Alligator mississippiensis: one gene and its partner. The protein of the gene in region 1 interacts with the protein of each later gene in a biochemical or structural test. Links are inferred from orthologs where the notes say so. Each region holds a gene or a part of one and is shown on either strand. Other genes may lie near its edges.

Evidence for each region.
Region 2: the proteins of atrial natriuretic peptide receptor 2 (region 1) and NPPA form a complex in vitro, tested with the Homo sapiens proteins (3 studies listed by BioGRID). The link is inferred for Alligator mississippiensis from reciprocal best matches to the Homo sapiens genes NPR2 and NPPA.

Annotation. Positions count from the first base shown.
Region 1 is NC_081826.1:303,063,933-303,067,679, reverse strand, and holds the start of atrial natriuretic peptide receptor 2, read right to left. Parts: upstream 2,223-3,747; 5' UTR 2,159-2,222; coding exon 1,393-2,158; intron 1-1,392. UniProt on the Homo sapiens protein: Receptor for the C-type natriuretic peptide NPPC/CNP hormone. Has guanylate cyclase activity upon binding of its ligand. May play a role in the regulation of skeletal growth.
Region 2 is NC_081836.1:12,470,326-12,474,072, reverse strand, and holds the start of NPPA (natriuretic peptides A), read left to right. Parts: upstream 1-770; 5' UTR 771-2,123; coding exon 2,124-2,243; intron 2,244-3,747.

The DNA of each region.
Region 1 (3,747 bases):
TCCTGGTGACAGACCCTCAGCCCCGACCTTGGCCTGGCATCTTGGGCTTGCCTCTGGCTGCCCTGCTCTGCGCTCCCGGGCTCCCAGCGGCTCTAGCCACTGGACTGAGACTCCAGCTGACCACAACTGTGATTACCAACACCCTGCCTACTGTGTCTGGACCCTGGCCTGAGCCTTTGGCATGGCACACGGCCCCCAGCATCCCCACGCACCATAGCAGGCCCCCGCCCCAGAGGGCAGCGATGGATCTTGGCACCTGCCATGGAGAACGATTCAGGACTGACACCAAGTGGGAAGCCCTGGCCGAGACCAGCAGTGTCAACCTTGCGCCGTGTTTGTGCTTCCAGGCTCTCACGTTGCAGAAGCACAGGACCCCAGAGCCCAGGGTGGCATATGTCTAGCCCAACCCCTGCCCGAGGCAGGATCAGTCCCATCCAAACCGACATGGGGGCTGGGGACCACGAGCCCAGGGGATGCACTAGGACACTTGTCCCTGCCCTGTGCCCAGCACCGCTTTGTGCTCAGCACGGGCAGGCTGGGGAGCAGCTGGGAGCTGGGCAGGAGATGGCGTACATTTAAAACTGATTTACTAAACGCGGACCGGCTGTTTACTTGGCCCCCGGTCAACCAAGCAAACAGGCTGTGCCTGGTCACCAGGGCCAACTTGGTTTTAGAGCCAGCGGATCTTAGCTGCCCCCTCCACCCACAGCCTGGAGAGGAGGAGGGGGAAAGCTTCCTGCTTTTCCAACTCCCACCTGGACTCCAGGCTCTGAAGGCCCTGGTGTCAGCGCCCGTGGCTGGCCGGAGACCCCAGGCGAGGACATGGCTGCCATGGACCAAGCACTGCGGCTCTGGGGGGCACGGGCCTGGCGCCAGGACCCTCCGTGGCGCCTTGGCTCCCGTGTTGTGGGGCGAGGCGGGGGCTCAGGGGCATCCAACTCCCTGTGGCCAGCCCCGGCCCCCGCCCCAGGATGGGCAGCCGCCCCCCACAGCCCAGCCCCCAGGCTCTACCAGCCACGCTGGCTCCGGGGCCCTGGGCCCTCCCTAATGACACAGCACCGGATGCATTAGCGAGCAGCAGCTGGCTGGATCGATGCGCGGCTCATCAATAATGGAGCAGCCCAGGCGGGTCCTCCCGCGGGGCCCGATCCCTGCCTGCCCCATCAGCGCGGCAGCTGCCGGCTCCCCTCGGCCCGGCCCGGCCCGGCCTGTGCGCCCCGTCCCAGGAGCCCCCGGCGCTGCCAGCTGGGAGGCAGGGGCGGGGGGCGGGCTCAGCCCGGCACGGCGCCGCGCCGCGACCAGGGCCCCGCGCACGCACCGTCCGCGCCCCGCGACGTCGCGCTTGCGCCCCCCGCCCCGGCCCCGGCCCCGGCCCCGGCCCCGCGCGCTCACCGCGGGCGCTGGTCTTGATGAAGGCGACGGCGCTGTGGGCGCCGCCGTCGTCGGGCGCGTAGAGGTGGTAGCGCACGGCCAGGCTGGCGCCGTCCTGCAGCGCCTGGTACACGCCCTCGATGGTGAAGTAGTAGGGCCGGTCGTCGGTCTTGCGGTCGGCGTAGAGCAGCGCGGCGCGCGCGCTCCAGTTGAAGGCGCCGTGGAGCCGCGCCGCGAAGGCGCCGAGCTGCGGCGCGGACGGGCCGGTGCGCACCGTGGTGCGGTACTGGAGCCGCTTCTGCCCGAAGCCCGCGGCCACCGCCCCGGCCGTGACGAGCGGCAGGCGCCAGTGCGCGGCGAAGCGGCCCACGGCGGCCGCGGGGTACACGCAGCCCGGGCCCAGCAGCACGTCGGGGTCGTGGTAGAGCCGCAGGTCCACGGCCTGCAGCGGCGCCACGTCCTCGGAGCAGATGCCGTCCAGCTCGGAGCTGAGGAAGCGGGTGCGCACGGTCAGCGCCCGCGGCAGCAGCTCGGCGCGGCGCAGCGCCTCCAGCGCCAGCCTCACGGCCGGGCCCACGCGCGGCCAGGCCCACGCGTAGCTCAGGTTGCGCTCGGGCAGCACGGCGCCCAGGGTCAGGGTCAAGGGCAGGGGCTGGGGCTGGGGCTGGGGCAGGCTGCGGTTCGCGCCGTCGGGCTGCGCCCGGCCCGCCCCGCACAGCGCGGCCAGCACCGGCACCAGCACCAGCCCCAGCAGCGGCGGCGGCGGCGGCCGGCGCGGGGCGCCCATGGGGCCGGGCAGAGCGGGCTCGGCGCGGGCTGGGCTCCCGGCCCGGACTGCGCTGCCTTCGCCGGCTGCCGCCCGCCCCCGCCCCGCCCCGGGCCCGCCCCGGCCCCGCTCCGCTCCGCCCCGCCCGCCCGCCCGCGCCCCGGGGAGGAGCCGGCCGCTGCCCCATGCGTGCGTGCGGGGCTCCCTCCCCGCCCCTCGCGGGGGGCCCGCGCCGGACAAGTCCCCGCTGCTGGCTGCGGCGCGCGGGCAGGAGCCACCCGTGCCACCGGGGCCGGGGCACGCGGGTCCGCGGCGGGTGCCTGGGGCTGAGGCCAGCTGCACGCCGCGGTCCCTTGGCTCCTGCGCGAGCGGGGGATCTCCGGCTGCTCCTTCCACCCGGGACTGGGGCCGCGCCGGCCCCGCCGGGGAGACCTGGTTCAGTCCCAGAGCCACCGCAGGCACCGCCCTGGGGGCTTAGCCCAGCCTGACCCTCCCTGGCAGAGCCATGAGTCCGCAGGGCAGAGCCTGGGGTGCTCCCGGCTGGAGGCTGCTGCTGGCCGCCTTTCCTCTGCTGCCGCGGGAGGAAGCACTGGGACCCCCAGGGGAGCAGGAGCCTCTGGTGGGGGCCGGAGCTGGGGCCAGTGCCCAGCAGCCTGGGCCGCGCAGCCGCCAGCCGACCTGCGCGCGGCCGCCTCGCGAGCGCCGCGCAGCATTCCTCTCATTCCTGGGCAGGCCCTGTGGTCCCGTGGGGCCGGGGCTGGCGCTGGAGCGGGGCTGGCTGCATGGCGTGCCGGCCGGCCCCTCATAAAAGCTGGCCCCTCGTAAAACCAGCAGCAGCAGACGCCAGTGAGCCCCAGCGCCGTCTGCCTGCTAGGCCCTGCCGCAGCCACACGTCCCGGTGTCGGGGTTCTGGGCTGGGCCAGGGCAGCGTGACAGGCCCGGTGGCACACGGTTCCCATGACCCAGACGTGTGGGACAGGGTGGCAATGGTGGGCAGGGAGCAGGCAGGAGGCCAGGGGAGCTGGGGGCAGGGGCTGGGGAGCTGGGGTGGAAGAGGGGCCGTGTGTCATGGGGCATTGGGGGACCTACTCTGCAGTTCAGGGGGCACATGTGGCACAGGCCCGGGGGTTATTTCTATCCCTCGATGCCTGCTCTGGCACAGGCCAGTGGGCCTGGGGAGCTGGTGTGTGCCATCGAGTGTGCACCATCCTAGTGGGGCTGGCAGGTGCCATCAGGCACAGGCAGGGGATGCTGCAGCCCGGCCGTGTCCCTGCCATGCTGTGCACCGTAGTGTAGAGCAGCAGGTCCCTGCAGTCACCCCCACGTAGGGGCCCTGCATGAGCCCAGCACGGGTCTGCTGGGAACAGAGCCGCTGGATCGGGTCCTGACCCCCGGGGGCGGAGATTCCCACTCCAGGAGTCCTGGCACCTGGCCCAGGTGAGACCAAGCCGCACGGGGTAGGAGGAGACAGCCCGTGGCCCCAGTGCTGTTTGCTGCACTGGCCAAGCACAGGCACCAGTCCCGGCCAGCTGCCTGGTCCTGCTTTCTGCCACGAGCTGCTCGAGGCTCCTGGTGCTGGGGCCTGTCCTCCCTCCCCATGTGCGCCAGGG
Region 2 (3,747 bases), on another chromosome or scaffold:
GACAGTCCGATGCCCATGAAGTCCACTGCCATGTGTGTCTGAACAGGGAGTAGCATGCTGAGAAATCAGGTTCTAGGTGCCTCATATTAGTCATTTCCCCACCCCAAAAGTGTGTGCGTGTACATTTTGGACCATCATCTCCATGCCCCTTAGTCCCCATCTTCAGAATAGGGATAATAAGAGCTCTTTGCATAGAGGTGTTGTGAAGACAGACACATGGAAGTCCATGAAGCATTCAAAACCTACAGAGCCCAGTGACACAGCAAAGCCCACAAAGCAGCTAATTATTCTGCCTTCGGTGAAGGATTTGAATAGCATGCAATAAATAAAACAGCGTCACCCCAATCAGAAGGAGAGGGCAAAATAGCCAAGAGCTGTTCACCCACCCTGTGCACTGACAGAGGCAGAGGTCCAGTGAAAAAAAAATAGGGTACGATAGTGTAATTAAGAGGCTATCATAGCACCTACGTACAGAGAGCTAAATTGAGGATGCAGAGGAAAGCTTCATTCTGGCATTTTCTAACCTTTGAGCGTTTGACTTACAGCCTTCATAATGCCCTATTCAAGTTGGGGATTTGTGCATGCATACGCACAGTGTTTATATTGTCACACACACTGTATGCGAATGACAAACAGCATATCCTTTTTAATAAACATTTCAGGAAATTCTTTTCAAGCTCTGACTTTTCCTCATTTAAAATGCTGGAGATTCACTCAGACTAGGAAATGCAGTGCCAGCACAGAGTTACTCTTTACCTCCATCTCTAACACAGGAAGCCAGTCATGCAAGATGCAAAGTACATTGTATATTTCATAGTTTAAAATACTCTTGCAAACTGAGACACTGTTACTACCTCTTCTTTTACTCATATAGAGTTGAAAAGTAAGTGCAGATAATTTAGGAATATACAGATTCAGCATAACTCAATCACAATTCTGACTTCTAAAATCAGCTGAATGCTAGAATAGTGAACTCTAACAAAACAGAACCTATTTGTTCTCGCACTGAATACATGCATTTGCGTACACCCCCCTCTAACCCTAACTCCCCCAGACATACACACATTCTCTTAAACCAAATTTTGAAAAACTTCACTCAAATCTCACTCCACAAACATCCACTTTCAAGCCGATGCAACCGTGCGCCGAATTCATTGCACATGTCTCAGGAGCAGTCTCCCCTGAATGTGATTTACTCTACATTTCCTTGAAGTTACTTACAGTCAGACCCTGAAGTCCATGCTTATGGAAAACTCCTATCGACTTAAGTGTGACTAGCGTCCCAATTCTCAAAGGCATGGCAGCTGCCGTTGCTAATAAAGTAATTCTGGAAAGGCTCAGCAACCCTAAAGTGTCCCTCCAAGAGTTATTAGTATTACAATAGCACTGAAGCACTTCAGATCGGGACCCTGCTGTTGTAGGCAGTGTACAAGCAAGTAATGTAAAGACCGTGTAGTGTAGCACGATTGCCTTTAAAACCATGGAGAAGAAAAGAGCCCAGAACCGGAGATTTTCAGTACATGCCGCAGCATGCAGCAGCTGGAGGTTTTCCATATAACAGGGAAGCCTGTGTGACACTTGATCTCCTAGAAGGAAGTTTACCTTCCTCTGTTTCTACCCTCCCTGAAGCTGGTGTCTTTGGTCTCTTCTTTCTCTATATAAGGCATTTCCTTCCCAAAAGCTCCTTATTAAGTGGAATCTAGAGCCATCTCAAAGTTGTTTTCCTATCCCTGTGAATCAGACTATGGGGGTCTCTTGTAACAAAATTGCTAAGAATTTCTAGCTGGACTATGTAATCTCAGTGCCTGGTATCAAGGAGGGGAGGGTGGGGAAAGAGCGACATGAAATCATTGACTTGTGACAGACATTCCTCAGTAGCAGCCACCTCCTAATGACAGCTAATAAAGGGAATCTTCTTTTGACAGAGCTGCATGCCTGCAGTGGGACTGGAATGTACCCCCGATAAACCCCCCGATAACCTAGGAAGCAGGGATCACACCCAAAGAGTATAAAAGAGCAGCCAGAAAGAGGAGCAAACAGAACGAGGGAGTGAGCCATCGAGACCAGAAGGGACCTCTCAGAAGAAGCTCAAACTTGCTCCTATTCCAAGCCAACCCAGCAGGATGGACACAAAAGGTTCATTTCTCTACGGGCTCCTGTTGCTGCTGCTCTTCCAGTTCCAGTCCAACCGAGCCAACCCCATCTACAGCCTCAGCCCTGCCAAAGAACTGGCCAGCATGGAGGTGAGGACTCTGCTTTGTAATATTAGGCTATTAGTGTTAGTGGGGTAGGATGCAGTGTCACCTGTTCTCTTTAGGGCAGCTACTCCATCTGGCATAGATTTACAAGCAGAAATCTGTCTGGGGCACCTCACCATTATGCCCCCTCTGTCAGCTTTAACTCTTCACAAGAGAGGGGTTGCATTCTGCTTGGGGAACCCTGAAATCCTGAGACCTTCCAATTCCTTCAGAGGGATGCTGAGAGCCATCCAGCTGTGGAGTGCCTGCCTCCTCGGCACAAACACCTGCTCTGAGCAGAAGTAGAGGCAAGTCTCCAAGAGGGACTTCTGAAAGGGGTGGCTGCCACTTTCCCAGGGAAGAAAAGAGACTTGGAAATCTCTCACTGAATCACAAGTGCATTAAAGCAGAGAACAGTGAAGCTGTCAGTTTGCATTTACATGGGCAGCATGTGAATATGTGGGCTGGGGTGGGGTGCTGCTGGCACGTGTCTTCCATGGACCTTGCACTGTCTTTAAACAGAGATGCTGTGTGCTCATTCAGAACAGCATCCAGCGCTAAGAGGTTATATTTATACACAGGCTGTATTGCTATATCAGCCTAGGGTTCGGTACAAAATTAAGGCTCAACCTTGCAAGATGCAGTGAGGTTAGCTAGGTGCTTAAAACTAAACATGTACCCAACTACTTTGCTGGATTGGGACCAGAGAGCAGCAGACATGCCTTGATGCTGTTAGAAGACTGGCAAGAGTTAAGCCTAACTGCTTTGCACAATGCCTCCAAGCTTGCTAGGATCTGCCCCTGCAAGCTGCCAAAGGCAGTATATCCAAGCCCTAGGGCATCCAGCCCTAGGATCCAGCTCCCAGCTGATCCGAGCAGTCTTCGTAGGGCAACCTGCTCCTAGGGTAAGTCAAGGCAGTACTGACCAGTTTAAAATTTTCCCTTGAGGGCAGGCTTAAAAAAAATGCCCATTCTACTCGAGGAGGCAGCAGCACTGAGTTGCACTGACTGCAGCTTTGGGGCTTCCTTCAAAAGCTTCCCTATATAAATCGCATTGCAGTAACCCAAAGGTGGCAGAGATGGGATGAACCGGTGTGAGGTCTGCAGAAGAATGCAGAGCTGGCAGCTTCCTGGCTAGCCCAAGCTTAGCACTGCAGGCAGCAGCTTCAGCCAGAGACACTATGAGGAGAGATGGCCCCAGAAATGCCCCACAGCTGTGCACCATTTGGGAGACAGTCAGGTACATCCTTCTGGAGAGGATGCAGACCTGGCTTTCACTCCTTCCCCAATGTACTTCCCCTTTCCTGCAACAAGTGTCACTGCCATCTGTGCCAGCTCCTCTCACCTTTGCTTAGGGCTGCATGTTGCTTTTGTAGTAAGAAAAATCAGACCAGTCTGAGATCTGCTGGTCATTGGTAGCCTGATGGTTCTCCAGTTTGACCCCGCTGCACCCCCACTTGCTGGGACGAGGGGTTGAGGGGTGATGCCAAGACAACATAGGTGGAAAGGAA